Astyanax mexicanus: one gene and its partners. The protein of the gene in region 4 purifies or fractionates together with the protein of the main gene of each other region. This does not show direct contact. Links are inferred from orthologs where the notes say so. Each region holds a gene or a part of one and is shown on either strand. Other genes may lie near its edges. The genes, in order: pnn, ythdc1, srrm1 and srpk2.

Region 1 (8,563 bases), on a different chromosome or scaffold from region 4:
CCCCTACCTCCACCTGGGCCTGTGATGGACAAACGCCTGGTCTGACCCGGCCTGAAACCAAAGCAGATCAGAGTGAGTGGGCTTTAAAACACTGCAGATATCTACAGGTGTTGTGCTGAATTCTAGCTTTCTGTCTAAATCCCACTCCCTTTACATACATGCACCCCACCTTATAACTATAATTAGTACATTTATATTTACCCTGTCTTACTTGTGCAATAGAACAGTTGAGAAATCGAGTATTTTAGGTCTGTTTATAGAACTGTCTTAAAATATATTTTGTTGATAAGGAAGCTGTGTTAACGGTTGTTGGTATATCTTTTTAAGTTTTCCATCGTATCTGTAAATGCAGACAGATTCCTTTTTATATTCTGTAATTTTGTGGGACCAAGTTAACCCTATACTAACTAAAGATATCATTTAATGTTTGATATTATACACTGCCTGGTAGGAATGGGCAATATGGCCTTAAAATAAGATCACAACATTTCATGGTATTTTAGCAATACTTTTGGTGATACGACAAAACACCAACTGCTTGAATTTTTGCACCAGGAGTAAAGCAGCATAAAGTAATCCAAAAGCAGTGTGTAAGACTGGTGGAGGAGAACATTCAAAGATGCATGAAAAAGGTGATTAAAAAACAGGGTTATTCCACCAAATACTGATTTCTATACTCTTAAAACGTTATGAATTTGAACTTGTTTTATTTGCATTATTTGAGGTCTGAAAGCTCTGCATCTTTTTCGTTATTTCAGCCATTTCTCATTTCCTGCAAATAATTGCTATAAATAAAAATATGTTTATTTGGAATAAAAAAAATGTTGTCTGTAGCTTATAGAATAAAATGTTAATTTTACTTAAACATATACCTATATATTTTTCCAGGCCTGTAGATAGATAGATAGATAGATAGATAGATAGATAGATAGATAGATAGATAGATAGATAGATAGATAGATAGATAAATGTGATCTACATGATGATACATATTTTCAGTCATACCACCCAGCACTACCACAAAAAGGTAGGTGTGAAAGCAGCCTTAAATTCTGCCAAGATTATAAAAGTAAGTTAATTTCTAATACTTATAATGCACGAATTACAGTAACTATACCTTAAACATTGCAGTTTGTTGATTATACTTATTAAAAAACACACATGACTGACAGCACTGCTTGGCCTGTAGAAATATTATATACCATTTTAACTGTTATATTAACCAAATAGCCTAATATTACACTCACCAGCTACTGTTTTAACTGATGAACTAGATAACAAACCTTTAAATGTGCTGTAAATCACCACAGTACTTAAATAAACATTTTAATAAAGTGTAAATATTATATTTTGACACTGAGGTAACGTTAGCTAGGATAGCTAGTTATGCTAGTCAGCATGAGTTAAAGACAGCTGAGCTAACTGCTAACTATGTAGTTAGCAAACATTAGCAGCAAATTTGTCAGAAATAACTAAAATATTTAATATTTATCTACAATATTAGGAGACAATCTGTATTATCATGCACCCATATCCTTTCTGTTGGTGTATATTAGCTATAAAACTACACTTTCACCTTCATAAATGACACCATACGCCTTAAAAATTAGCTTAGCATAGCATTGCTGAGCTCAATCAGTGCTGGGCTTGCTAAGCTAAGCTAACACAGTTTCGCTAGCCTAGCTTAGCTTTGCGCAGTTTCGCCCTAGTTAGGCAGGAAGAGCTTCGGGTGCGTCCCAATACACTAACTATCTACCACCTGTAACTCTCGCTTAAACAAGCCGAGGGAACGTTTTAAACACGTTATTATACAACAACTTACTCTACCTTAAACTATAAAAGTTAGGTAATTAGCTTAAATTGCACAATAAAATATTGTTTTTTATTAACAAGTGGTCAAAATTGGAATGCACCTTTCACTCCAATCTAGTCTGAAACCAATGCTAGCTAACTGCTTTGCTAATCTAGTTAATTTAGGTGCCCTAATTAGCACACACACTAGCACACTAGACCGCAGCAATTCAAAAATGTATTAATATATTGTATTACATGTTAGTCATAGATTTATTTTATTGGCCAATAATAATCTTGATTTATTGTATTGTATTTTAAGTCCTCTATATATCCTTTACATATGTAGATTAGACAATAAAACTAACGTTACTTGACTATATATATATATATATATATATATATATATATATATATATATATATATATATATATATATATATATATATATATATGTTTTGTTATATGTACTAGTATATTAACTAGCTAATAAGTTGGAAAGTGTCAAAGCTCTGCATTCTTAAAACACAGAAGTATGGACTTTAAACAAATTGCAATTGTATGTATGTATGTATGTATGTATGCATGCATATATGTTTGCATTCATTTTAGCTATATTTATGTGCCATAACTAAGGCACAGAACAGAGTTAAATGTTATATACTACTGAAAACACGGACAACACTGTGCTAAATATTACATATTAATTAATATTAACTAGTTAGTTAACTAACTAACGCAAGTTTTAAGTGCCCTATCTAGGGCACAACACAGAAGTATGCACTTTAAACCGTAGCAATTGTATGTATGTATGAATGCATATTAGCTAGCTTTGCGTGCCCTAGCTATGGCACAAAACATAATTAAATATTATATATTGATGTATGACATTATATATATATATATATATATATAAGTAAAATGTTTATTTTGCTAGCTAGCTAGTATGTTGGAATGAATCCCTAATGTCTTGTTTAGCCTTCTAACACTAGCTTTAAGTGCCCTCGTTAGGGCACAACACAGAAGTGTGCACTTTAGTAGCACACCGCAGCGATTACATTTTAAATACTGATATGACATATTAGTAAAACGCTTATTTTATTATCTAATGGGGTTAGAAATCGACAGAATGTAATTACCCCATTCTACATGTTAATCTAGCCAAATAGCTTTAAGTGCCCTAGCTAGTTAGAGCACAAGTGTGCACCCTATTTTCTGTATTAGAGCTACAGCCCCTGTATTTAACCACAGCTAACGTTAGCTAGCTCTCTAAACTAAAGGTAAGCTAACTAGCTTAGCCGGTTAGCATGCTGCGGTTAGCCGCTCGCTAGCCCCGTTCCCCCGCTGTACCGGAGCTGATCCCGGTCCCCGGTCGTACCGTAGCTCGTTGGGGTCTCTGCCAGTGAGTTTCCGTATGTTCTCGTCCACACTCTTCAGGCTCTCCTTTGCCTTCTCCAGCTGATCCTGCAGATTCCGCACCGCCACCGCCATCCTGCTCCGATAGCTCAGCTAGCCCTACTGCCGCTACCGCTAACCAGCATGGAGCACCGCCGGAGTTCCACCTCTACCTGATGATGGACAAACACAGCAGCCAATAGGCGCCGACCCTCACGTTAACTTCCGCCAATCGTGGTGGTTCGTGCTGGCAGCGCCAGCCAATTATTCAGCTTATAAAGAGTCACATGTAACCTAAAAGATTCAAGATTCAAAGAGTTTATAATCTGCACAGTAAGGAAATAAGTCCTGATGAGTGCCAGTTTAATCATTCTAACGTATTTATGGTCTTTTTTTTTATTGCGACTGCATTTGAGGACACTTTGAGTTATTGAAATTTTTCAGATCGACTGACCTGATAATGAAAATAGTATTGTTTTCTTTACTTAGTTGAGTAGTTCTCGCCGTAATATAGATTAGACCATTACTCAAATAGTTCAAGTTGAAAGACTTTCAAGTAATTTGCACAGTAAGGAAACAAGTCCTGATGAGTGCCAGTTTCATCATTAAAACGTATTTTATGATCTTTTTTGCGACTGCACTTAAAAATACTTTCAGTTATTATTTTTTTCATATTGACTGACCTTCAGTTTTTCTTAAAGAATTTTTTTTGCTTTACATATTTGAGTAGTTCTTGCCGTAATACGGATTAGAACATTACTAAAAAAATGTACTGTTGAAGGACATCTGCACAGTAAGGAAATAGGTCCTGATGAGGGCCAGTTCTATCTTTATAACGCTTTTGATGGTCATTTTTGCAACTGCACTTGAAAATACTTTCAATTATTGAATGTTTTTATATCAACTGACCTTTATTTTTTCTTAAAGTAATTAAAAAAAAATTACTTAGCTGAGTAGTTCTTGCCGTAATATGTAGGACATTATAGTTGGTTTTAAAGGTTTAATAGTTTGTGCTAGATTAGCTAAATACTTAACACTTCTGCTATTATTAGGGGGGAAATATATGTATATATTATTATAAAAATATAAATATATCAAATATATATTTTGAAAGTTTTTAGCAGCAAAATCCAAAAAACAAAATCCACAGAAACAAACAAATGAAAGCAAAGACTGACCAAATTAAAAAAAACAATTTTCAAATAACGACAAATGTATATTTATATATATTAATTTCTAATTTTATAGCAAATATTTTCCCTTTTTATTTCCAAATTAATTCCATAAATAGAGACAAATTAGCCAGTCAGTATAATCAGTAGTAGTAATAGTAGTAGTAGTAGTAGTCACATTCAGAAACTGCTGATGTAATGCAGTGTGTGATGGAAAAAGAAAACAAAACCTAAACTGGAACACACTCAGTAGATTTATTACAGGTTTATTTCAATACAGCTGAAATGAATCACTGTAAACTGTTTTTATAATGGAACTATTCATTGATAAATCTACTGACCAATATTGATCACTGATCACGAAATCAGTCGATCAGCTGAGACACATTCAGTTTCTGGCAAATAACAGCATTCATACATGTAATCATAGAAAACAGACATCTACAAAAAATCTCCCATAATCTGCAGCATCGTCTTCTTCACTCTTTATCAGCCAAATCAATCTGCTCAAAATACCTAAATAAAAGAAATAAGAGGAAAAAAAAGAACCTGTAATTAACTTTATATAACATTAAAATTTATAAACTCAAATAAACTATAATAAAGTCAGTGATTAGTGAAAGTGTCTACCTGTAATTAACTCTATATAACATTAGAATACTAAACCCAAATAAACATTAATAATAAAGTCAGTTATCAGTGAGAGTGTCTACCTGTAATTAGCTCTATATAACATTAGAATCCTAAACCCAAATAAACATTAATAAAGTCAGTGATCAGTGAGAGTGTCTACCTGTAATTAACTCTATATAACATTAGAATCCTAAACCCAAATAAAATTTAATAAAGTCAGTGATCAGTGAGAGTGTCTACCTGTAATTAACTCTATATAACATTAGGATACTAAACCCAAATAAACATTAATAAAATCAATGATCAGTGAGTGTGTCTACCTGTAATTAACTCTATATAGCATTACAATACTAAACCCAAATAAACATTAATACAATCAGTGATCAGTGAGAGTTTCTACCTGTAAATAACTCTATATAACATTAGAATACTAAACCCAAATAAACACAAAGAATAAAGTCATTGTAAAGTGAGAGTGTCTACCTGTAATTAACTCTATATAACATTTGAATACTAAACCTGAATAAACATAAAGAATAAAGTCAGTGATCAGTGAGAGTGTCTACCTGTAATTAACTCTATATAACATTAGAATACTAAACCCAAATAAAGATTAATAAAGTCAGTGATCAGTGAGAGTATCTACCTGTAATTAACTCTATATAACATTAGAATGATCCATTAAAGTTATTGATATGTTGGTTAGAAAAACACAGTTTACCTGGCAACTATACAGATTAACAAGTTCAGTGCTGACAGCCTGTCGTCATCTTTGCTCTCCTAGAATAAAATGAAACACAAAAACATACTTTACATGTATAATATACTTACAATAGATTAAAAATATATACAAGTGTGGTTTTATATATAAATTCGTGACAAAATTAGCCATTTTCCGTCCCTGGCGTCATGTGATTTGTTAGTGTTTCAAGGTCTTAGGTTAAATTTGGTGTTTTGGGTTCAATTCTCTCATACTTGGCCACTGGATATTAAACATGCCACCTCTTGGCAAAGAGCTCTCTGTGGATGTGGGAAACAGAATTGCTGCTCTATATAAAGATAGCCTAGGCTATAAGAATATTGAGGTTATCTAATATTCAAAACTAAAAAATAAATCCAGAGTATGATTACAGTAATACGTAGGTCCTGTTCAAAATGAATGTTGAAGACTCCTACTATAATCATTTTATCACTACATACTTCTAAATCTACGACAAAATTACTAAATTCTTTTAAAATTTCTATATTCAGAGGCTGGCTTTAAAAAACAGATGTGTAGAATAGTGCTGCCAGTATTGCTGCAGAGGTTGAAGAAGTGTGAGGTCAGTCTGCAGTGCTCAGACCATACGCTCACACATACTGCACACATTAGATCAACTCTGTCTGCATCGCACTGTTCTAGAGGGTAGCCTCTTCTGAAGCTGATGCACAAGAAAGCCTGAACACAGTTTACTGAAAACAAGCAGTTTAAGAGCATGGACTACTGGAACCATGTCCTGTGATCTGAGGAGTTAAAGATAAACTTGTTTGGCTCAAATGGTGTCCAGCATATTTGGCGGCGTCCTGGTAAAGAGTACAAAGAAAATTGTCCCTTGCCTACAGGCAAACATGGTGGTGGTAGCATCATGGTTTGAGGCTGTATGAGTGCTTTCAGCACTCAAATGCTTTACTGAGTAAAGTGAAGATAAAGGTGATGGACTGCCCCAAAATTGATATAGCTTTAAAGCTTTAAATTGAGCATCTGTGGGGCATTCTTAAATAGAAAGTGGAGGAGAGCAAGGTCTCTAACATCCACCAGCTCTGTTTTCGTGTCATGGCGTCATGTGAAGCTCTAGTGAACTTCATACTATTTGTCCATTTTCACTTCGGAATCTACTCTACATTTTCGTTGTTAGCGGTTTACATATAAATGGCTAATAGAGGCAGGCAGTGTTTACCAGGTTTGCTCGTACTGCAGAGCACCGCCTCGCCAGCTGTCTGATCAGCGAATGAGCTTCAGGGAGGAGGGGCTTCTCCAGACACGCCAGTAATGCATACAGCCACTGACCCTGTGGAGATAAGAGCTTTCAGTACCATCTGTAAAGTTCTGTTATTTAGAAGAGTTTAACTAAACTCACCAGCTGTGGAACAAAATCTCTCTCCTCAAACCAGCTGATCAGATACTCCAGCACTGCAGAAACCGTCGACTACACAACAAAAAGAGTTGTTAAAGATTACAGGAGTATCAGATTACAGAGGTATTAGATAAATAGGGTTATCAGATTACAGGGTTATCAGATTACAGGGTTATTAGATAAATAGGGTTATAAGATTACAGGGTTATCAGATTACAGGGTTATTAGATAAATAGGGTTATCAGATTACAGGGTTATTAGATAAATAGGGTTATCAGATTATAGGGTTATTAGATAAAAAGGGTTATCAGATTACAGGGTTATCAGATTACAGGGTTATTAGATTACAGGGTTATCAGATTACAAGGTTATCAGATAAATAGAGTTATTAGATAAATAGGGTTATCAGATTACAGGGTTATCAGATGTCAGGGCTATCAGATTACAGGGTTATCAGATTACAAGTTTATTAGATAAATAGGGTTGTTAGATAAAGAGGTTTATTATATTAAAGGGTTATTAGATAAATAGGGTTAATAGATTACATGGTTATCAGATTACACAATTATCAGACAGCATGCTTATTAGATTACAGGGTAATTAGATAAATAGGGTTATCAGATTACACAGTTTTCAGACAAACAAAATGATCATATTACAGGGTTATCATACACACAGGAGTTTAAGATTACAGGGTTATCAGATTACAGTGTTATCAGATTACAGGGCTATTAGATAAATAGGGTTATTAGATTACATTGTTATAAAATCACAGGGTTATCAGAAAAATAGGGTTATCATATTACAGGATTATTAGAGTACATAATTGTTAAAATATAGGGTTCTCACACACACAGAGTTATCAGATTACAGGGTTATCAGATTACAGGGTTATCAGATTACAGGGTTATCAGACAAACAGGTCGACTAAGATCAAAAAAACCTAACAGGAAAAAACGCATTTCATAAACAGGCTTATACAGGCTTGTTTACAACAGTTAACTGATAATTTTCTGATGTTAAAAAGTCACCTGACTGAGTTTGCTGACGATGCTGAGAAACGGAGGAAAGCCCATCTGAACAAACAAGAAAGAGAACGAGAAGAAACTATTAGTGGATAAATACTAGTCCAAGTAAATCAATAATCTGTTGGAAAAGTTCTGCTCTTGATCTGACCCAAATATCAAATATACTCCTCATCTTAGAGCTAAACGGCTGTTCAGGTGCAGTTTAACCTGATTTATTATTCAGATAATAATTACTACAGTTACTAACTAATGCATCTCTGCTGCTGCTCCATGCTAAACTACACTAAAATACAGTATGTGCTAGACCAGAACTAGACCCAGAACCCTCTTTCTGTATTTACTTTATTAACCATGCCACACACAAGAGGTGAACACAAGAGAAGATGATCTGGTGGTTTGTTGTGATGCATTTCGCCGTTTTGTTGAACAT
Region 2 (8,211 bases), on a different chromosome or scaffold from region 4:
AAGATGATCCGTGCAGAGACTCAAGAGATCTCCAGACAAACTCCAGTCCAACTAAGCTTCTTTAATATATTTACATTCTACTAAAATACATTCATTTACAATCAGCATATATGCAGCTGAAACAGGGAGGAGCCTAGTGCATCCCAAGTTATATTATCAACATTAACATTTTAATAATATAACATTAAATAGTCATCATAGCTTTAAGAAAAATGTGTTTTGGGGAGGGGGAGGTAGTGAACTCTAGGACTCTATAGTGTCGTGGACTAAGCTTTTGTTCTTAATGGCATTTTTTCCCTATTTTACGTTACTTTTACTTTTATACTTTAAGTAATTTTAAAACCAGTACTTTTACACTTTTACTCAAAGAGTAAAAAGCTTGAGTTGATACTTTAACTTCTACAGTAGTATTTTAATCCCCAGTATCTACAGTATACTTCTACCTACAGAGTAATGAATGTCAACACTTTTCAAACCTTTGGTAGTTTCTCTATTGTTATAAATCTGCTGCTTTATTACAGGTGTTGTGGAGATACTCAGGACAGAAACCTGATACTCTTGCTCCGAACACAAAACTCTATGACTGGATTCCTCAGAATGACCTACTAGGTAAAGAGCACACATTTTATCTATACTATACTACTATTTAAACTATTTGAATTAAAAAATTAATATATCATTTAAAACATTGTTGTATATTGTGATTGACTAAAGTCCGGTGAAATGTTACGGACTAGTACCATTTTCCTCCGTAGAAAAAGAACCCTTAAATCATATCATATTAAAAGCACTTAAACATAAACACTTAAAAATAACATTAATACGTATAATATAAAGGCAGGAAAATCACTTGATCCTAATATTTAACCTTTAAATCAAGGGCTCCCTTAAATTCTTACAGTATTTTTGGTTCAAACCTTCACTATACCATTTAATGTGTTTTGATTTTTTCATCAGTGCTGATTAATAACTCTACACCTCCAATCTTTTTTATACATATGTTTTATTGGACATTATATTAAGTTACAGTACACATAATAACAAAAAACAATGTTAACATCCATTTTCTCCTAAACAACATTTTGTAAAAAAAACAAAAAAAAAAAAAACGTTGGTCTACTGAGAAAATAAAAAATATATAGATAAAGAGGAGATAAGTAGCATTTTTAGGATAAACAATGAATTAAAATGTAAAACATATAAACAAGAATAGAAAATAATATTGAAAAAGTAATAAATAATAATAATAAAAGTAAAAGTAGCAATGAGTGTGGTAGGCACACAATATGATCGATTAGTTCAATAAATAAAGATAGAGGCCCTTAAGAATTAGTGAGTTTATGGACAAATGTTACAAATGTTCTATAACATGCTCTAATTAGGTTAGATTAGATTCTATTCCATAAGATTTTAGCTTTATTGTCATTGAGTCAGTTCAAGTACAAGCTTGTACTGTACTGTAATACAGTAATTTACATCTGATTCTTTCAGGACATCCCAAGACCAAGGCTTTCGTCACCCATGGTGGGACTAATGGACTGTATGAGGCTATTTACCATGGTGTTCCAATGGTGGGTATACCACTGTTTGGAGATCAGCCGGATAACCTGTTCCACATGAAGACCAAGGGAGCAGCTGAAATTGTTGAATTCCTCAAAATGACGAGTGGAGACCTGAAGGAGGCTCTCACTGCAGTCATTACCAATCCATCGTGAGTTTTCATTTATTAGGAAGGGGATTATTTTATGAGCGTTTTCACATGTCAGAACCAATTTTGCGGTCTGCCAGCATTCAGTGCTTAAATAGAATGAAACCAAAAATAAATTAAATAATTTGTTGAAATGATTTAAATGGTTTAAGACTGAAGAGGTTATTTATTATTTTATCCTATTTTTAAGTAGTCATTTTAGTAGGTATTTAGTCTATTCATATGCATATCACATTAGCTTTGTTTTTTTTTTGTTTTTTTACCTAATTAAGAACAAATCCATAGCACAGTAGGTAAAGTAAAGCATAACTACACCAAACTAACAAATTTTTTAGTTATTAAAGTTATTGAAGTCCGTAAACGGTAAATGGTAGTGTGGTTTTGGATCACATAACGTACGATTCACAATTTTGAGGAGCAGATTGAGAATTTTTCAGATTAGAAAAAAAGAACAGTAATTGACAGTCATTTTTAAAGTATCAGTAACTTTTAGCTTTCAGTTTGAACATCTTACTGCTTAGTTTGTATTATTAGAAAACTTCTAATTAAATAAAAACTTCTATATTATATAGAAAATTATAATATTATATAAAACAGTTGGTACTTCTGGCAGTGTGGGCAGTGTGCCAAGTCCTGCTGGAAAATGAAATCCCCATCTCCATAAAAGTTGTCATCAGAGGGAAGCATGAAGTGCTGTAAGATTTTCCAGGAAAACAAAACTGCACTGACTTTAGACTTGATAATAAAACACAGTGGATCAACACCAGCAGATGACATGTCTCTCCAAACCATCACTGATCATCAGTAAATGATTAAGGGATCAGAGTCTGGAGGAAGAGTGGACAGACAGTCCAAACTGCTTGAGGTCTAGTGTGAAGTTTCCACCAATCAGTGATGGTTTGGAGAGTCATCTGCTGGTGTTAAGTTTCACATTTTGAGCTGAATTCCTGAAATAAAGTTTCCAATGATATTCTTATTTTTTAAGATGCAATAGTATATTGTTTAAAAAAGTTATCAGTGATTGGCCTAGAAAAATAAATCAATTTTTTTTGCAATTTCTAAGATATGATTAGCGACTGCCTTAATCCAGTGTAGCAATTTGCCTTAAAAAAAAAAACTAAAGAAACACACATCGGTTATCAAGCATATATTGACTAATTGAATACATTTGAGGTAATGCATTTTTCACTGAAATATTCTAATAGAAATTTTGTGGTAAATCTGGCACCAAAGTTTGCAAATCTGGACAAATGATTTAATCTAATGCACAATGCAATAAATACAGGCTTTGCTCAAACCGCAATCTTTACATGATCTAAACAGTATTATTAATATTTCCTTTCTTCTCTCAGGTACAAAGAGAGCATGATGAGACTTTCCCGCATCCACCATGATCGACCAGTGAAAGCCCTGGACGAGGCTGTCTACTGGATCGAGTTTGTGATGCGCAACAAGGGTGCGAAACACCTGAGAGTCGAGGCCCATAACCTCACTTGGTATCAGTACCACTGCCTGGACGTTATTGCCTTTTTACTCGTAATAGTCGCTCTGGTCATCTTTATCTTTGTGAAAACGTGCAAGTGGCTGTTCCGTAAATGTTGCAGAAGATCCTCCGCCAAGAGCAAGAAGGAGTGAAAAAGCTGTGTGAATCGTACTGCACTGTAGTAAAGAGTCTCATGTCTTATTATAGGTTTGAAGACTGAAAATGCTGTGTTTTACTGTAAATCCTTTGTGTCACGCAACAACCTTGTATCTCCAGTTTTAACATTTCAATCTTTTTGACATAATTTGAAACTGAATGTATTTTTAATGATGAGGGGACCAAGAGAAATGGCCTAAAGTGATTTCCATCAAAACTTAAGAAGATGCATCCTTCTCCTGTGAAGTTGCCTTTATGAAATTACATTGTTTTTGCATCACCTTGATATTTTATTGTGTGTGAATGTACTGGATTTTAATTGTTATTCCAACACAAATTAGGGACAAAAAATAGACACACTCTTTACAGTGCCTATGTCATAAGTTTACACTGTTTTTTACAAAGTAGGTGAATGTTAGTTCTAAGATATTTTAATTATAGGTGTTTTATAATTAATTTACACTTCTCTCGACAGGATTAATGTTCAGGGATTTTGTTTGTGTCTTTTTATTTTGAATAAAATACTATTTTGATTATTTAAATGGGTAATTTTTCATATTTTTCTTAAATCAACCAATGACACAGTCTCCTGTCCCTGTTTTTTGTATTTTAAATTCACCCCTTACAACAGTATAAAAGAAATTACTTTGGTGTTAAGGTGTTTCAACAGCCAAAATAATATACTATAGAGCATTAATCCTACCAATTCATGTACTGACAAAACACACACTAGTAACCACACTTGCTCGGAGTGGACCCAGGGATCTGTAAGCCACCATTGCCTTAATATAATTTAACACTATAAGTATATTAGTATATCGTCGCTGTCCAGTAAAAAACAAGTATCTCCATTTTTGTCAATTTTTAGTTTACGACATAATTTTAACGCACAAACTGTCCCTTTTGCTGTTGTATTTTTGTAATGATTGTAGTCATAACTTTGTTTGTGACCTAATTTTGTGTTTCCAATAAAAAAAATGTGTGCAGAAAAAATATTTTTTGAAAAAAGAATAAATAAAAAAAATGAACCAATAAAATAAAAAATAAAATTTAATAAAAAATAATTTTGCTTTTGTATTTTTGTAATGATTGTTGTTTGTGACCTAATTTTGCGTTTCTTTTCTGTGCTTTGGATTGTATGTTGTGCACAAACAAAATAAAAAAAACATCTATTCTATATACGACAGGCAATATTTCTCCCAAATTCCAAATAAAAAATATTGTCAGAAATGAGAAATGTCTGAAATAACAAAAAGATGCAGAGCTTTCAGACCTCAGATAATGCAAAATGAACAATTTCATATTCATAAAGATTTAAGAGTTCAGAAATCAATATTGGGTGGAATAACCCGGGTTTTAATTACTGTTTTTATACATCTTGGCATGTTCTCCTCCACCAGTCTTAGACACTGCTTTTGGATAACTTTATTTCACACTGGTGCAAAAATTCAAGCAGTTCAGCTTGGTTTGATGGCTTGTGATTATCCATTTTATATTCCAGAGGTTTTAAATTTGGTAAAATCAAAGAAACTCATCCTTTTTACGTGGTATTTTTTTCCAGAGCTGTATATACATATTTATAAAACATTTTATTCTAAAATTGCCATCTGGGTTTTCTACTGTGTGTGTTAGGAGGAGGGGAAGTACGTGTTTCCTTACTATCTGGCAACCCTGCCGCAGTGCTAGGAATCCCTCAGCCATTTTAGACTGGAGAGCGGAGGATTAGCCAGGCAGCAGCGGCGGAGCGGCGGAGCTGCGTGTGTGTTTTCACTGATTCCCGAGGATTTCGATTATAACCAGTTTACTGAATAAAGACGCTGGATAAAGGAGACAAAACGAGGCAGCGCAGAGTCTCCGCTAACCCGAGGAAGGAGCCGAAAATGGCCGTCGATCGACGAGACGACAAAGGTAGAGAGAGACTGAGCTAGGCTAGGCTAGCCTATGCTAAGCTAACTGCACCTTTGTCTGCGGGGCTGTTTATGGATTAATAACGCTGCTAACGGCTATCTTAGCTTAGCTAACACAGCCTCAGCGCTGACAACTCGACCTTTAACCGAGTATGACTTTCCATATATTTATTTTAATTACAGTATTTAACGACATTACGCTTTATACATTTTAAACTGTGTAGTTGCGAAATGCTACAGTTAGAGATAGCAAGGTAACTTAGTGTTTTTGTCAGTGCTGTTGAAAGTAGGGCAGTGTTTAGTGTAACCTGCTGATCCGCTGTCTGAGTGTCTGATTCATTAGCTAGTTAACCTACCTAATGGTTAATAACTTAGGAAAGTTATATTAATTTCAATAAAAAAGAACAATAAGGACATATTAAGGTCCTAAACTAGCTGGGATGTTTTGTTTGGGGGGCTTCAAATAGGCCCAAGTTGTAGGACAGTGGCAATATGTAGCTATACAGCTCTGGAAAAAAAGACCTTTTAAAACGTTTTTTTTTTAACCAAATTTAAAACCTCGAATATAATAAAGAGAAAGGTGGATGACCACAAGCCATCAAACCAAACTGAACTGCTTGAATTTTTGCACCAGGAGTGGAAAGGTTATCAAAAAGCAGTGTGTAAGACTGGTGGAGGAGAACATGCCAAGATGCATGAAAACTGTGAATAAAAAACAGGGTTATTCCATCAAATATTGAATTCGGAACTCTTAAAACGTTATGATTATGAACTTGTTTTCATTGCATTATTAGAAGTCTGAAAGCTCTGCATCTTTCTTGTTGTTTCAGCCATTTCTCCTTTTCTTCAAATAAATGCTCTAAAAGACAATATTTTTATTTGGAGTTTTGGAGAAATATTGTCTGTAATTTATATAATAAAACAACAATGTTCATTTTACTCACACATATACCTATAAATAGCAAAATCAGAGAAACTGATTTAGAAAGTGAAGTGGTGGTCTCTTAATTTGTTCCAGAATGTGTGTAGTTGTATATGTTTGATTTTGGGTAGATAAATACATAACTATTAAACTATGCAGTTACGTTGGATAGAATGAACATATTTTGTTCTTTCAATAAGAACATACTCTGGAGACACAAGCATCCATCAATGTTATGATGTAATGGCCAGGGACTACAAGAAAAAGGCCTTGGTTTCAGGAGCATGACTTTGTTGGGGGGTAGGTGGGTGGTTCAGTGAATAAGAGTGTGTTAAGCATAGTACAGCATATTTATCTGTAGGGATAAGCAATATGGCCCTAAAATAATATCACGATTTGTGGTATTTATGCAATATGCAAATCAGTCAATCAGTAATACTTTCCCCCTGCTGATGTTCAACTATCTGCGTCTCACTGCTATCAGAAGCAGACTGCTGCAGCTCAGCCAGTCAGCTTTTTCTCCTGCCACGCCTCTAAACCCATACATCACCCAGTGCCCCTTTTAAACTACCCTTCCCGTTTTCTAGCATTTTTCAAATTTGAGCTGAGGATTGAGTCAGCTAAAATCAGGGGGTTTAGTTACCCTTTGATAGTTTACATCTAACACTGGTGTCAGAGGTGACTTATTTTATCAGTGTTGTAAACCCTGCCGACTAACATAGCAGTGTTACAAATATAATGGAGTTTTTTTCATACAATTACAGTTTTTTCCTCTGACTATATTTAGGGTGTTTTCACATCTGAAAGTCCGGATCAGGGTGTGTGTCTTTTTGTTACAGTGCATATATTGTATTTGGTCTGGTTAGTTTTTGGTTAGTAAGGTTCACACTGCAGTTTAGTGAGCAGACTAAAGAACTTTTACTACATCCTGTCATAATCAGCTATTTTGGTTTCGTCTCTCTACATATTAATCTCTCTACATATTTATCTCCCTACATATTAATTGGTTTGTAGAATGGTCGTTATGAGGTAAGCGAATTACTTTGCCAGGTGTTGCGCCCTTGAGTGGAACCAAGACTCAAAATGGGGGCCCATCCTCTTCTGGTAATCTAGAACACCTGATTATAGCCAAAAACAAAGTAATTAATTTTTATACTGTTTTAGTGTATTAGGTGTGAGCTGCAGTAATGGGATGTTTTAGGTTTGGTTTGTTTCTTCAGGTTAGGATTGCTAGTTTTTTTTTTTTTTTTTAACCCTCTGATGTGGGCCTAATATAGATATTTGGTCTGTAGTTAGCATGTTCTATTTATTCCGTCTGTTTGTTGATGTCTTGACTTGCTAATTTTAAAGCTAAAGGCAGTAATTCACCATTAAGTTAAACCCCATAATCCTCCCTTGCCCTGAATATGATTGATTATAGAATGATGTTCTTTGATACCAAGTTTTAAACCTTTTTAAAATTATCTTTTCAGATGGAGAGCTTAATGTTCTTGAAGACATATTGACTGATGCTCCAGACCAAGATGACGAGCTGTACAACCCTGAAAGTGAACACGGTGTCAGTGAAAAGAAAGGTATGTATTTCTTTAATTAAGGTAGAAGGAGAAAGGCTGTGATAGAGTTATTAAGTGAGAATGTGTTTGTCACTCTTCTCTTACTCAGGGTCCAAAAGGAAGAACGATCGTGGGGACAGCCACGATACAAAGCGGCTTCGATCTGCAGGCCACTCGACCAGGCAGCCAGTTAAAAGGTCAGCCCCTTCCACAGGAGCCAATGGGAAGAAAGTGACTAATCTAAGAGGAAGACACCCACCTGAAGACTTTTACGATGATAGAAAGAACCATTCTGGCAGAGGTGGGTCGTCCAGGGCTGACCTGTCTAAAGGGCACAGTGAGAAACCCCTGAACCGGAGCAGAGACCAACAGAGGAGGATTAAACCGCTGATGCCGGAGCTGAATGAGGTGGGTGGAGCAGCAGACCACATTTATTTGCTTCTGGTGGTTTTATGTTTTATGCCTTAATTTGAATAGTAAAT
Region 3 (7,813 bases), on a different chromosome or scaffold from region 4:
AAATATGCATTTCTAAAAAATGAGCAGTTTTACCTGTTCTTGCAAATAAAGCATATAAAAACACTGTTTTTGCATATAAAGTACAAAATATTGTTAACTATTTACTTCAACTTTTTTTGCTAATTAACATTAAAAAAAATCATGGGATATCTGGTTCTGCACAGTTAGTGCCCAAACACAAAAGCATTTTAAACTGAAATTATCAATTTCAATTCTGGAAAAAAGCAAACTACTAATTAAATTTGACACGATTCTATACGTACAATCCCTGATCATAACTCACCTCCAAAAACAAAGTTCATCATCAAGGGAGAGTTGGGTTCAGTGAGACTTTGGGCTCAGGTGAGATCTAATTAGGTGTTGGTGCTATACTTCTGTTGCAAGGTATTACATCCATATTGGTTCAGGCCTTTTAAATCATAAATCACATCATCATTAGAAAAGACGTCAAAACCCCACAAAGCAAGTTCAGCATCTTCAGCAAGTCCATATGATTCTTTACCCATTTCTACCAGACAGGTGACACTGTGCTGCTACAATAATGGGTTCAAGTTAGACTCTAAAGCACATGTCTGTTGCAATGCCCTTTTCTCCAACCCCTCTGCCATCCAGATGATGTAAAAAGAACAACTACTGCAAATCCTGCCTGCATGTAACCACAAAAAGAGCAGAGGAACAGAATCAATGAAGGCTACCTTCTCCTCCAGCTGGTTAAAAATGAACTCGATGACGACATCGTCCTCAAAGCCAAGGATCTCCGTCACTCGCTGGGTGATCCAGGGCTTGATGACCTCCAGGTTTACCTTTGTCATATCCACCTTAAAGACAAAAAAATTGAAAGAAAATACGTCAAAAAAACAAAACATTGAAAACTAACAGACAAACAAGAACATATGTTCATGCTGTAAAACAAAATAAAAACATTGTCAAACCTTTTTCTCCAGACATTCTGCAAACTTCAGCTGCTTCAGCAACTTCTTGTGTTTGTTGCTGAAGCGATTATCTTGCTCCGCACTCGTTCCCTGCATAAAAGAGTTAAGTGTATGAATTGGAAAGTTATGCAGATTAATTTCAAGGTCCCAGGAAAAACTGACATCAACAACCTTGTTGGTGTAAAGCATGGATTTAAGATAAGCCAAAACCCTGGATTCTTAAAGCGCCTTCAAATCTTCCTTACACATTCCTACTTGTGATACTAAAGTTATAAATTATTTACATTGTGGTGTGGTAGGAAGCCTAACCTGTTGACTAACTTATTTTCTTCTATTTACCCCAAAAATCATCCAAGTTATCTTGCAAATTGATAAATCATTATGAGCATTAGAAGAACACTATTAACATAAGTAGCATGCACATAACAATTCTGTGGAGTGTGTAAGAGAACCAATAACAATTTTATTTAACCCTGCAGTGGTCATGTGTCAGTCATTCCGTTTCCACGATTGAACAAAAATTCCTCTTAACTGAATAGATCATTCTTTTAATATAATTGTTTAATCAATGTAATATTTAAATCCAGCAACTGAATAAAGCATTGCCTCAAAGACATAACTTGAAGCTTAACAATCTGTTTCTTTAAATTAATTATTTCCTTATTTGAAACAAAATTAATAAAAGCAGCATTCCCTTTATTTAACATTGCATTCTATCAATATAATAAATTATTTCCTTAATTTAATAAAAAAATAAATACATTTTAAAACACATTGATTTATGCTCATATTTATTACTTTTAATATATTTGTTTTATTTAACCTGTTAAGTTAAAAAAGAGGGGTTAACGTTTTGACCAGTCTATGTAAGAACTAGTTAACTGTACCTAAATAAATTTGGAAACCAAAAATGTAAATAAGTAAAATTCTCATAAGAAATCTTTAATTCTATTGTTCGGACACAATTGCTTAAAATCTAAAATGTAAGGTATACAATTAGTGTTAAATTATGCATCATAATGTTATGAACAAATGGTAATAAATTGAGACGTTAGTTAAATTATGTTGTAATGGTTAACAATGTCTTAACAAATTTCAGTAAATAATTAGTTAAAACGTTCTGTAGCAAATACTATTAAATAATGGACCCTTTTTATATAGTTGTAAACTGTATATTGGCAGATACACAACTTTTCATATATAACGTTATTTGATATCAGCAAATAATTCCCTTATCTGTACATCCCTAAATATACTGAATTTAAATGGCATAGTCAACTAGTTAACACTAACTATGTTATAGACTCTTACTACATAAAGTTAGCTATAGTTAGTTAAAGTTAGCTGACAAGCTAATTAACCACAGCATTTCCTCCACACGATCTGATGGAAGCACGAGACAGCTAATGCTAGCTACCCTAATCTTACCTGACCTATTCAGCGGTATTCCCAGACTAATTTAACAGCGCCCTGACTCCTTACGTGTTTTCTTTAATCTACAGATAAAGAGAATTATCAGTAAACTGTGTTAAATCCTGGTATTAAAAGCAGAAACAGCGCAGTTTTCTGCTCTGCGAGTGGAAGCTAAGAGGAACGTTAGCTTGCATGCTAACCGACAGGTTTAATGGGAACACAGCCCGGCCGCGCGCAGACCGCCGCTTAAGAGTTACGACTATTCTACACTTTAATAAGATATGTAACCAGATTAAAAGCGTGGCTGTAGATATATACCATCAAGACAAGCGACCTAAAGACATTTACAGAAGTCTGTTATACCGAAATTAACCTATTCAACTAATAACATATCCCCTAGCCGCTCTCTTGCCATTCCGCACTACGCTCGCTCTCCAGGCTAGGCTAAGTTAGCTTGGCTAAGTTAGCTTAGCTAAGCTACCTAAGCTAGCTAGCATACCGGCTAATCACTGCTAGCGCCGCGGTACAGGGCTCCAATACTGCAGTAAAATAAGGCGAATAAACGCCAGGTTATTAACTACATACATCCACAGTAACCCCCTATTTCCTAACGTCCCGCCAAAACGCAGTAAATCCAGCTTGAACGGGAACTTACGCGGAAAAATCCCGCGTCCATTTCCACCGAGAGGTGCGACAAAAACCGTCTGTGGAAAACGCGCTGCCGTCCCCCACAACCCACCGCGCTGCTGAGCTCATTTACCAGAAGAAGCCCGGCCCCGTCCCGATTGGCGCTCTGGATCCCTGCGCACTTACACACTAAGTAGTGCGCACTATTAAGGATATTTTTTCATTGCACTTTGCAATATGCTGTGCACACATATACAAACGGTATAATACATACAATACAATACAAAATGTAATGTATATATATAATATCAATGAGAACATAAACATAAAAAACCCAAACGTTCCATTTCCCCCAATACACTTACATGTCAAAAATCCCATCATAGCTTTTTAGAAATTTAGTGTTTTTTTGTGTCATTAACAATTCTAAAGCTTTACATGATACATTGAATTTCAGTTAAAAAAATGTGAATTTGGGTGTATTCTTCAAAAAAAATGTTCTTCATGAATATAATACAGTTCCAGTTTCAGGAGATTTTTTATTTTATTTAATATAACAAATTATGTCTTTGAGGTAAAAAAGGTAATGTTATACAATTTAATTCAGTATTCATTAAATGATTTAAACCAGTGGGAATAGTTTTAATAACAATTTTACATTCTTTAAATGAAATAAGAAATAGATTATTTCCAATTAAAAATAATAAAAAAGGATATTCCCATCCTTGCTAAATAAAACAAAAACGTTATCTTGATTATACCGTTTAGGGAAAAACAATGATTTTATTCCAATTGTAATAACACTATTATTCCAAAGCACTTTATGAGAAGCAAATGTGGGAAAAACACAGTTTCCAGGCTAACGATATAAAATGTTGCATGGTATATCTTCCAGGCCTGGGTATCAACACCTTTCGAACACAATCCCCAATAAATAATTTTATATTACATGTTTTTTTTTTTTTTAGAAAACACACAAAAAAACAAAACAAATGACAGTTGTTTTGGCTCCTCTAAAATGAGCAATAGTTCAAAAGTATATAATTTACAGTACCGTTTAAAACATGGGACACATCTTTTCCTTTTTAATGTTTTAATTTTTTTCCTACATTGTAAATAAATACTGAAGTCATCCAGATTATGATGAAACTTAAAAGTGTTAAATAAACCAAAAAACTCTGAAACATTTAGATGCTCTTATCTGGGGAGCTGTTAACTTTGGGTTTCTGAGGATGGTAACTCTGATGATCTTATCCTGTGCAACAGAGGAAACTCCTGCTCTTCCTTTCCTGGGGCGGTTCTGATGATCATCATAATGGTTTTGATGGTCTTTGTGACGGCACTTCAGGATACTTTTAAAGTTCTTGAAATGCTCTAAAACACATTAAGAGGCAAGATCAGCACAGCTGTTAACTGAAAGCAATTCCAGGTGACTCTTCCTCATAAAGCTGAGTGAGAAAATCCAGCCAAGATGAGCAAAACTGTCATCTAAGCAAGAGGTACTACTTTGCAGAATCTAAACTATAAAACATTCTGGTTTGTCTAAGACTTTTTATTACTAAACAATTCCCTATGTTTTTTAATAGTTTAGATGGCTTTAGTATTAATGTACAATGCAAAAAGTTTTAAAACAATTAAAAAACGCTGCATTTAAGGTGTCCAAACTTTTGACAGGTACTGTATCGTACAGTATCGTACTGTATCCTACAGTCAAAATCTCATGACTTACCGATTGAAGACGAGCCCTAAATCATGGAGATTAGTTCAGTGAAGGTAGACCAAATTTGACAAGCTATTAACATTGACATAAATATTAATAAGGCACATTTTATTTTGACTTGAAGTCACACTCTTGATATAAACCATTATCCTAAACCCCTGTGTGTAAAGTGTTTTAAACTAGTTATTTTTAAATGATGTATAAAATATAGATAAAAGTGTTAAAGCTGCTTAAACTCAAAAATAAACAATATATGCATATGCTTCATTCCATTTACCCTAGAAGGGAAGAAAGAAAGAAATAGTTAATTAATTTAACTATTAAAAGACGTGTGTTACTTAAAAACATATCTGAAAAAAATGACTGTTTGCTAAAGACTTTGGAGATTCAACTCAATTAACAATCTTTACTAGTGTTTTAAGGCAATTCCTACCAATATATAGATAGATAAATAAATATTTGGGAGGGTTTCCTCAGGAAAATCAGAAGAATGTCCCAGATTATCACTACAAGCATTATCCTAGAGTATCGTAGATCCACAAGATTCCATTTGTTAAACGTCTAGCATGATTTCTATCATCATGCTGTTTTTTTGCTCTTTTACCTTTTAAAATGTCAGAAATCAAAACAGTCTTTGAAGAAATAAAAAAAGAACCTTTCCATTGGGAGAATTTTGTTTTATTTTTTTTTCTGATATAAATTTACACTGCAATTTATTCCCCCAATTTCGGCATGAAAACAATAAGCTAATGTGCCTTCAATATGAAATGTTAACATATTGTAAAGGCTTATCTCTACACAATATCAGTTGGGCCCCCCAAAATCACACCCCATAGATGGAGAAGGAGAGAGTTTCTGTGTATAGTTCAGGAGATGCTCTGTCTCAAACGCTAAATTGTAATACTGAGCAGATTCGTTGTGAATTGTGTTCGTCCCCTGAATTTGGTTCACCTGCTGAATTGACTTTTCTGAAATTGAACTGGCCCCAACTGCAGTGTTTATCCATGGGCCCAGGCCTGTGTAAGAGCTGTTGTCCAGTTTTTGCAGTGTCATATTGGCATGAATTGGCTGGAAAACAAATGGTCTTTGACCTATACATCATACTCACTTATTTGCAAGAGTAAGGCAAAGAAAGAGAGAGGGAGAGCGAGAATGAGCTTGAGTAAGATTGAAAAGAAGTACTTGTATTATCCCAATGACGTTAAACAGCTATATGGATGACGGGACAGAAGAACGTAATTGGAACTTCAGCATGAAAGGCTAGGTTTTGTGAATGGAGAAACAGGGAAATACAAGGCAGCATTTAGTGGTAATTCAGAATGATATGATTGAGTACATTACGGACAAGACCAATAATATTGAACCAGATGGTGCCTGTTTATATTATCATTACTTTGAGCATAAGAGCAGTCTGAATTCATATGTTATTTGTTAAATAAAAAATAAATATCTAGTTATAGAAAATCCACACCACCAAACTAAATGCTAAACTTCTAAGTGCCATAAAAAATAAATAAGGCCCCTAACCAGACAAGACCATCATAAGGAACAACTGTGTTTAAGAGAAGCACCCAGAGCCAATCCCAAACACTGCACTCTGGTCAACACCCTTAAGACTATGTAACCATCAAGCCTGATAGCCGATGATGGTTCCCTGAGGTTACAGGGAATTGAGAGTAAAATCTGTCCCAGAGCAGTCAAACCAAGACAACCAAGTTTCATTACAATACTATTGAACAAAAGCAGAGTAAGAAAATGATAAATGATAATTTTAGGACAGTAAAATATAGTATGTAGAATAACAGAAATATTAGTAGGTTGAAAGTACAATTTGATGGGAAAAAGAAAAAAAAAGTTTTTTTTTGTCCCAGGATTTCTAGTATAACAGCATTATTAGTTTTATTTAACTGACATAATTAAATACATAGTAATGTTTATTTCACTGGGGATAACTAGATATGAACGGATGCTAGTAAAATGTTTAACGCAAACTAAATGCTAATAACCATATTCAGTAACCTGGCTGATAATAAACAATATATTCATTAGAAGAAACAATCAGGCTATATTCATTTGCATAAATGTTTTGTTTAGCCAGCTTACCCTGGCTGCTAATGAGCTACTAGCATTAACAGAGCCAATTAGTTTAGCTTAACCTGACTACTAATGAGCTATATTCTTTAAGCTAGCAAGTTTGGTTAGTTCACCTGGATGCTAATGAGCTAAATTTATTACCATAGAAAGTTAGCATAGCATAACTTCACTACTAATAAGCTATATTCACTGCCACTACCAGTTAGGTTAATTTTCCTGACTGCTAATGACCTATATTCATTAACAGAACCAGTTAGGTTCATTTCTTAGGCTGCTAATGAGCTATATTTATTAACAGAGCAAGTAAGCTTAGCATAACGTTGCTGCTAATAAGTTGTATTCTTTAACACAGCCAATTCTGGTAGTTTAGTTGGCTGGCAATGAGCTATATTTATTACCAGAGCAAGTTAGCTTAGCATAACTTTGCTGCTAATGAGCTATATTCATTAACACAGTCAGTTCTCCTGGATGCCAATGAGCTGTATTTATTAACAGAACCATCTCATTAGGTTAGCTTAACCTGGCTGCTAATAAGCTATTTGCATTAACAAAGCAAATTTGGTTAATTTCCCTTGTTTCTTATAACAAAGCTAATTAGGTTAGCGTAACCTAGCGGCCAATAAGGTATTTTTTTTTTCAATAACAGAGCCAGTTAGGCTAGCTTAACCTGGTTGCTAATGAGCTATACTCATTAACACAGCCAGTTAAGCTATCTTAACCTGATTGCTAATGAGCTATGTTCATTAACACAGCAAATTAGGTTATCTTAACCTGGCTGCTAATTAGCTATACTCATTAACATTGGCAAAAAGTTTAGCTTAACCTGGCTGCTAATGAGCCAAATTGGCTGGATACTGCAATGAGCTACAACTTTTATGAGAGAGAGACGTAGAAGCACGAAGATATCTGGAGGTCGTAACAACATTACGATGCAAAAAGAAAAGTTAGTGTTAACAAAGATTTGCTACCTTTTCTCCTATAAGTACAACTTGTTAAACACTAATGGAAAAATAATCCCTGCAAAAAG
Region 4 (7,964 bases):
CAAGGTGTACTGCCAGGTAGGCGTTTTTAACAGAGTGCACAATGCGTGCACACAGTGTTTAAAAACTCCAGCAGCACTGCTGTGTCTGTTCCACTTCTACCAGCACAACACACATTAACACACTGCTCCCGTGTCAGTGTCACTGTAGTACTGTGGTGGAATAATCCACCACCCAAATAATACCTTCTCTGGGGTGTGCCTGACCAATGCACAGGGTGAAAGGAGGATGATAATGTATGCACAGAAACTGATGAGCCACATTCTGCAATTACAGAATTACAGTTTTCCTATATTGTACAAGGTGTAAAAACATGTAGGGTATCATAAAATTATTATTAATGTTATACTTGACCGTGCATACGGTCACACACTCTAATATTTATTTGGACAGCCTATAAATTTGATTATGGCACACATTCGCTGTGGCACCGTTTCATGCTCCCTGAACTACTCTTTCATAATCTGAGCAAGATGAATGCTGGCATTGTCTTGTAATATGCCTATGTCATCAGGGAAGAAAAATTAATTGATGGTATAACCTGGTCGTTTAGTAGGTTTAGGCAGTCAGCACACCACATTCTTTGGGCACAAACCATTGCTGAACATACCCTGACAAACTGCAGCAACCCTAGATCATAGCACCGCCCCCCCAGACTTTTTGGACCACATGACCTTCTCCAATTGCTCCAGAATCCATAATAAAAGCTGTTTTTCCAGCTAGCTTCACTGATGAGGTTTTTTTAAGGCTACACAGCTGTCAGGTCCAAATCCCTTGAGGACCCTTTTCCAGACTGATAGATCTCAATTGCATTCTTTCTCATTTGTTCCTGAATTTCTTTTGATATTGGCATGATGTGTTCACTTTTGCCAGGCAGGTCCTATTTAAGTAATTTCTTGATTGAGAACAGGTGTGGCAGTAATCAGGCATGGGTGTGGCTAGAGAAATTGAACCACAGTTCAGTTTTAACTGGGAGGGGCACACTTTATCACACAGGGCCATGTAGTTTTGATGTTTTTCCTCCTGTAGTAAAAAACTTTATTCAAAAACTTGAAAATTACAAGCTGAATTACCTACTGTAATTTTATTCCCGTCTGGATGCTCTGAGAGTTTCGTCACCGTTTAATAAAATAGCTTTTTGTCCTCTGCCATGCACCATAATTACACTTTGGGCGTTTACACGAAGATCCACGTAAACACAACAGCGAGTGGAAATGGAGGGGCTACTGAACGCAATGCCACTCACTGGTCCTCCTGCTTTTCAATTGCAGTCCAGATGCAAGAGTTTTATCACTGAGTAGAAGTCCCCCTGAGAAACTAATCCCACCTGGATAGGGCTTTTGACTAATGTTTACATTTGTTTGATGATCTGAAACATTTAAGAGTCACAAACATAAGAGCTTTCAATGTCTATATCGACAAATGTAAATAAGTTTGTGAAAAATGTTGGATATTGGCACCACATTATAATTTCACTATTGATGCATCCCTCACAATATAAAATAAGATTATTCCATACACTATATTTAACCTAAAAACGTGTATTAGTACACCCCTACTATAGGGACATTAAGTCTGTTCCACATATGAAATATATAAAAACAAAACATGCAGTATGCATTGAGAATATTATTATCTTGTTGCTACTGTATTAACAGTGCTCGTGCGAGGCATCATGGATAGCATCCCATCGCGCCATGCAAGGCTCGCAGTGTGAGACACATGGAGGTGTCTTGCATTAGAAAAGCACGCTGGCTTTTCCAGCATATTCTTCGGCTCGCGGCTACAGCCCGGGAATCACCAAACGGCTGGCGGTGACGTCGCGCCAATCGCGTGGCGCCATGAAGCCGCTGTCACTCAACCCAGCCAACCGCTCAGCATTAGTCCCACCGCTGCACCGCGCTCCGCTCAGCGACCACCGCTTAAAACACCGGCTAATATCTCCTCTAAACGCCCACGTTTCTTACACGGAGTTCTCACACACACTAAACACACCAACATCTCCCCTCTACCCTGAACCCAGCGCTAGCAGCACGCCCACGCCCCCAAAAGCATCAGCTCCACATCTGTCACATCATCCAGCCACATCTCCCTCAATCCAGCCCACAACACACACACACCATCTTCATAGCTAGCTCATAATCCACCCCCTTTCACTCACACACACACACACATACAAGATTAAAGTCTGACTGTTCACAATTGAATGCTAGATATACATAATAGAGTTTTTACTCTAGTATCTGGTATCAATTACATTTTGTATATTTGAAATGGCAATTCAAGATATCTGCATTTACAGCCTTACTAGTAAAAGAAGGACAATTTTGATGACTAAAATGTTGTTTTATTTCAGATGATCAGAAATAATGAATAGCAGATATGTTGAATTGGAGCTTCTATACAACTGAAGGGCAATGGAATCCAAAGTGTCTCAAATAGGTTTTTATTCTAAGCTAATATAAACAGCGTTATATTAATTTGATAAAATGTTTAGGCATGCAATAATAGTAGATATCTGTAATAACGTAGCTCTGGTTAAACAAATTAATGTTAAAATATGTAACACATATATTACACTGTGTATGTGCGCGCGCGCGTACATGTGTGTGCTCTTACATAACTAAATTGCCATAAATGTGACTAGTAAGCTAGTCCATGCAAACTCGAGCACAGCGAGGAAGCGCGAGGCGACGCTTTAGCTCGGGCCGTTGCCATTAGCAACTCGCGACTCGCTGGGCAGATTGCACAGTGAAACAGCGCTGTATTCAATCAACATTTATCGTTAGCTAATGTTAGCAACGATTTGAACCCCGCTCATTCAGCCTGTTTCAGCCCTCAAAAGCTGCATATCTGTGACTATGTGTGTGTGTGTGTGTGTGTATGTGTTATATGGTTGGTGAGAACTAGCTATATAGCGTTACGGTCAGTCATCAGTACCGTCCACACGCCGCCCCTCGCCGGGGCTGCTGTCAACACTAGCTAGCTAACCTCCCCCCGTAACGGTCGCGTGTTGTGCTCACGCGCTGAGAGCCCGCATCAGTAACAGCAGCGAGCTAACGTTACCTCAATGCTACCAGCCCATAGAAGCAACCTATACACTCTATATACACACAGATACAAACTCCGAGAGCTGCCCCTACGACCCACGCCCCTGCTTACTTACCTCCGGTGGTGAGCCGCCTTGTCTTTCTTCCCCTTCGGCCTCCTCTTCCGAGCCTGGATAGCCATCACTGGAGGAGAGCAAGCAGGAGACGGAGGGCAGGCAGCACCGGGGGGAGGGACGCCAGAAAGAGAACAGAGGGAAAACAGAGGGGCTCGATGAGACAGAGAGCTAGGTTAGCTGACCGTGGAAAGAAAGCATCGTACATTAACACACAACAACAATATCCAAAAAAAGGTCACGCAACGCGACAGCAGGGCTGGACGCGAGGTTTTCAGAAGCCCCGCCGAAACGAGCAGATGTCTGCGTGAATTTAAATAGTCTATAGTGTTTAGTGTACCCTTTCTGGAGCTCATGGTGTTTATCCTCCTCGCCTCAGCGCCAGCAGCGGCAGCCCGGTTCTCTCTCCAGCGCGGCTGGAGGATGGAGGCGCGCTCCCGCTGTCTAGGAGAGTGGGAGGAGCCGCGCGTGCACGCGCATCCTCATCCATCCTTCACTGAGAAGCTACACAGGATGGATTCACTCCCGCACGAGCCTGTAAAGCACATTTAAAACACAAGGAACATCTAAATATACACGTACTGACAAAAAAATAATATATATATTCTCCGAGAAGAACTGTTAGAATTATATTAAACTTCCTATTTGTGAATGTATGATATGGGATGATATATGTAGGTGATCAAAACATATTTTAGGTAATTCTGCACATGTAGCCACAGGATGTACTGAATATATGGTTAAGCTATTAGTATCACTACTAGGGGTGAACAACTGTGTGCAATAGCTTGCCAACAAAACAACCACCCTACTTCTCTCAGTCAAGTGAGGTGTTCCCTCTCCAAGTCTGTCAACTGGGCAAAGTATCTTTGAATGCATTGTATAGGCATGCAGTCAACAATCTCTCACGAAGAGGTGCACTTCCCCAAAAAAGCCACTCACACAGCCTTTCAATGTGGTAGTGAGAAAAGCAATTTTACACCCTTCTGGCAAGACCCAGTGTGGAATCAGAGCACACCTATTAATTTATATATATGCCTAAAACAGGACTGCAGGCCGAGTTTTGTGGTAATAATAATAATCTGCAGTGCACTATGGGTGACCAACTGTCCTGTGCGAAGGCTCTCCAGATTACCACACCAGCAGTTGGGGCAGTGTGTCGTTCCAGCATACACAAACCGGACCACTATCAAATCCCAAACAGAACCTGGATTATTCACTGAAGATGAATACGGTTCCAGCTTGTAAGAATTTCAGGTTTGTAGTTCATGACACAACTGCAAACAAAAGGTGAGGCAATCGTTAACACCTTCTCTCAGTCCAGTAAGGTGTTTTCTCTCAATGTCTGTCAACTGCGCAAAGTTTCATTGAGTGCATCATATAGGCATGGTTAGCAGTCACAAAGAGGAACACTTCCTAAAAAAAGCAATTTTACACCCTCTTCTGGCAGGACCCAGTGTAATCAGAGCACACCTATTAATTTACATATCTGCCTAAGACACAACTGCAGGCCGAGTTTTGTGGTAATAATATTTGTTGTCATGTGTGAGAATACATATAGTCTATGCAGACATCGGAGGGGCTAAAAAAAATCCGGATAGCAGTTAACATTCACACACAGTCCCTTTTTATCCACCCATCTGTTCATATATTCGACCTTCGGTCCTTACATCTGCCTAATCCACCCCACAGAGTTTAATCAACATGGGACTGTGCACATTTTTTTACTAAATCATTCTAACTGTATAATATGCATAACTGCGCAATGCATACATAATAATTTGATGATAATACACAAAACGCTTTATAAACAATGCTTGCTACAAATGATGGACTTCTATACACATATGTAAAAAAGGTTATTTCGATAATTCACACGCAAACAACACAGGCCTGTGTCCCTGGTCCTGCTTTAAGAAGGGGATTTGAATAATGAACAACATGCATTGGCTCAGAGCCACAGCACCATCTGCTGGACAATATTTTAGCCAGATTTTAACATTAACATCCAAGAGCGTTGGACGTTTTAACCCATTCATGTACACACGGAATTGTGTAGGCTCCTCCAATGTATTGTTTTCTCTTTGCTTGTGGCGTTTGGGTGAGATTACCTCTTTTACATCTATACTTTTCATAATGTTGAAGAATAAAACGTTTATTTTTGGGCCCCTTTTTATTTTCATTAAAATCTAAATCAAACATTTTATGCAAAAACATTACAAATTATGTTTTTATTACAGATATAATTATACAGATAGATCACTAAAAATTATGTAACGTTTCTAGGTGCTAAAGTGATGCTGGGAAAATGTAATTTACACAAAACCGGAATAACCTCTAAGGGTTATTTGAAACAGTTTAGCACCCATTTAAAATTGCTGCATGATTGCCTGCTTAACTTCCTTTATACCCAAAAAGCTAACAATACGCAGAAGATTGTGAGTGTTATAGAATTATATTTTTATGTGTTTATACAGTACCAGTCTAAAGTCTGTACATACCTTCTCATTCATTGTTTTTCTTTATTTATATATTTATTTTCTACATTAAAGACATTAAACAATTAAGGGTCATATGGGGTCATATAAGGGTCATTTGGTTTACAAATTAATCTCACGTGTTCCTGTATAGCTTGAATATAGTCTTCAATATTACATTTACAATGTAAAAAAAACATAAAAAGAAAGAAAAGACATGAAAATGAAAAGAGGTGTGTCCCAACTTTTAACTGGCACTGTACGTTATATTGTATAAAAGAGTATATTTTGTAAACCGATACTCTTTTTGTTTGATAAAATGTGTGATTTTTGTGATTACCGAATAAATAAAAAGGGAAAAACAAGCGCGCAGGCGGAGCTTAACCCAGTAAACACTTCCGGAGGAGAGCGGGCACGTGGACACGTGGTTTGATGTTTAGAGCAGCACGGCGGCTATCAGGACTGGGCTGGAGAAGGTGGGCGCTATACTATTATCAGATTCACTCACATACACCTCAGTTATCTAGCTGGGTTAGCTATATTAAATTATTATCCGGTAAACGTATATTAATAGCATAGCATTCACAGCGGCACAGTGCGGATACAGTCAGTTAACCCTAACATAACTCACAGCGGAAAATCAGAAACGGACTAGCCGCTCAGTTTAAGAATGTGCCGGACTCCCTCCAGCACTGCTTGATAGTTATTTTTTATTAAATAGTGGCTAGCAATTACCATTTACCTGTATTCTTCTGATTAGCATAACAGTTGTTTTTTTCCACAGTGGAAGTAACAGAGTGTGGAGATTGTTCTGCTAACATACTCCGGTAACCTCACCACATTAATGATTGACGGCATTAAATTCCCACCCCTTTAACCCCTTAACAGGCCAAGCTTTTTTGTCAATTGTCTGCCTAAAATTAAGCCACTAAATCTTAAGGGTTTCTATTCAAGCATTACATAAAAAGCTTGTGTTTGATAAGGAACATTACTAAATATTATAATTGTAATTGTAATAGAAAATATATAAAAATAATAATAAGTAAATCTGCTAATGTCAAAATAATTGGCTCTTTCCTGAACTTCATTTTAAAATCAATATTTGTTTGTGTAGTTTTTACATTTATTTTCAATCATGCAAAATTTGTGTTGATTCCTGTTACTGATATGGAATTATTAAGTGGAGTAGAGAGAAAATAGACAGCTTCTCCAAGTGTACTGTTGGAGATTTTAGAAGAAAAAAGGGTTTTGTATCATCTACACCTGTAGCCTGTATACGAGACAAGAAATTTTAATGGGTAAAAAAGGGAAGGAAAATACTACACTGCTTTAAAAAACCAACATGGTCTGTTTAAGCTGATTAAGAATGTTAACCCTCCATGGCATAACCAATTTCTGGGTATTGTACAATACCATACTGTACCTTATTTACTTACTGGTAATTTGTTGGACATCCATTTGTGAAATAGGTGCTTAATATTTGTTAACCCCCCAAAAATGTATAGGGACTGTCAAGCCTTAAAGTAATTCGGTTAAAACTTAGCCTTAGGGTCTGGCAGGATGAATCAGCCAGCTAGTGCTCACTGTGCTACACAGCTTTATTATATATGTACATGTATGTCTCTTTTCTATTCTACAGAACTGCTCTCTTTTCATCCTGCAAGAAAGTGTTTCTGTTATCTCTCAGCAAGGCTTAAATCATCTGAACACAACAAAGAGATTTCTCTCCTAGTTTTTCTCGTTTACCTCCACTCAGTAAGTAACTCAGTGTAGTTAGATCTCACACTGTGGAATCAACAGCCTGCAGTATAACTCTGCCTTTCCTTATTTCTCTTCCTTTTTTTACTATGATATCAGCTTTGTGCCAATGGAGGACAAGGAGCCCTTGGCAGAGCCAGTTCATGTTGGAGAGAAGCGGACATGCCCAGAAGAGGATTCAGAGCACATTGCTAAAAGAGTCAAAGTTCAGGATGAAGCAAATGGCAGCCATGCCACTAAGCGGACAGAAGATGATAAAGAGGAGCTGGAAGGGGAGGAAGAAGAGGAGGCTCTGGAAGAATGTGATGGAGAAGGAGAGAGCTTTGCTGACATGATGAAGTATGGTCTCAGTGAAGTGGATGTGGGCATTTGCAAGTTTGTCAGTGAGCATAATGGCTTCTCTGGAATCCTGAAAGAGAGGTTAGTGGGTCAGTCTGCCTGGAAAGGTACACATAATGTCAAAGTTCCACACATTTGCCATATAGGAATTGTTCTGCATTCTGAATAGAGATTTTCCTTTGAAAATAAAATATAATCGACGACTAGGCTTAATCCCTGTCGGAAAACC

What was found.
Region 1: the proteins of srpk2 (region 4) and pnn purify together in Homo sapiens (affinity purification with mass spectrometry; 3 studies listed by BioGRID and IntAct, with this or other methods). This does not show direct contact. The link is inferred for Astyanax mexicanus from reciprocal best matches to the Homo sapiens genes SRPK2 and PNN.
Region 2: the proteins of srpk2 (region 4) and ythdc1 purify together in Homo sapiens (affinity purification with mass spectrometry; 4 studies listed by BioGRID and IntAct, with this or other methods). This does not show direct contact. The link is inferred for Astyanax mexicanus from reciprocal best matches to the Homo sapiens genes SRPK2 and YTHDC1.
Region 3: the proteins of srpk2 (region 4) and srrm1 purify together in Homo sapiens (affinity purification with mass spectrometry; 3 studies listed by BioGRID and IntAct, with this or other methods). This does not show direct contact. The link is inferred for Astyanax mexicanus from reciprocal best matches to the Homo sapiens genes SRPK2 and SRRM1.

The regions. Positions count from the first base shown.
Region 1 is NC_064421.1:1,237,169-1,245,731, reverse strand, and holds the start of pnn (pinin), read right to left. Parts: upstream 3,355-8,563; 5' UTR 3,283-3,354; coding exon 3,170-3,282; intron 52-3,169; coding exon 1-51. Other genes in the region: gemin2 (gem-associated protein 2), read right to left, coding at 4,838-4,874, 5,713-5,771, 6,929-7,039, 7,109-7,177, 8,137-8,181. UniProt on the Homo sapiens protein: Transcriptional activator binding to the E-box 1 core sequence of the E-cadherin promoter gene; the core-binding sequence is 5'CAGGTG-3'. Capable of reversing CTBP1-mediated transcription repression.
Region 2 is NC_064408.1:10,366,904-10,375,114, forward strand, and holds the start of ythdc1 (YTH domain-containing protein 1), read left to right. Parts: upstream 1-5,025; 5' UTR 5,026-5,227; coding exon 5,228-5,255; intron 5,256-7,648; coding exon 7,649-7,750; intron 7,751-7,838; coding exon 7,839-8,137; intron 8,138-8,211. UniProt on the Homo sapiens protein: Regulator of alternative splicing that specifically recognizes and binds N6-methyladenosine (m6A)-containing RNAs.
Region 3 is NC_064421.1:41,979,872-41,987,684, reverse strand, and holds the start of srrm1 (serine/arginine repetitive matrix protein 1), read right to left. Parts: upstream 3,101-7,813; 5' UTR 3,022-3,100; coding exon 3,001-3,021; intron 1,023-3,000; coding exon 933-1,022; intron 819-932; coding exon 696-818; intron 690-695; exon of another isoform or gene 1-689. UniProt on the Homo sapiens protein: Part of pre- and post-splicing multiprotein mRNP complexes. As a component of the minor spliceosome, involved in the splicing of U12-type introns in pre-mRNAs. Involved in numerous pre-mRNA processing events.
Region 4 is NC_064409.1:52,787,630-52,795,593, forward strand, and holds the start of srpk2 (SRSF protein kinase 2), read right to left. Parts: upstream 3,640-7,964; 5' UTR 3,518-3,639; coding exon 3,502-3,517; intron 3,232-3,501; coding exon 3,165-3,231; intron 1-3,164. Other genes in the region: pus7 (pseudouridylate synthase 7 homolog), read left to right, coding at 7,506-7,816. UniProt on the Homo sapiens protein: Serine/arginine-rich protein-specific kinase which specifically phosphorylates its substrates at serine residues located in regions rich in arginine/serine dipeptides, known as RS domains and is involved in the phosphorylation of SR splicing factors and the regulation of splicing.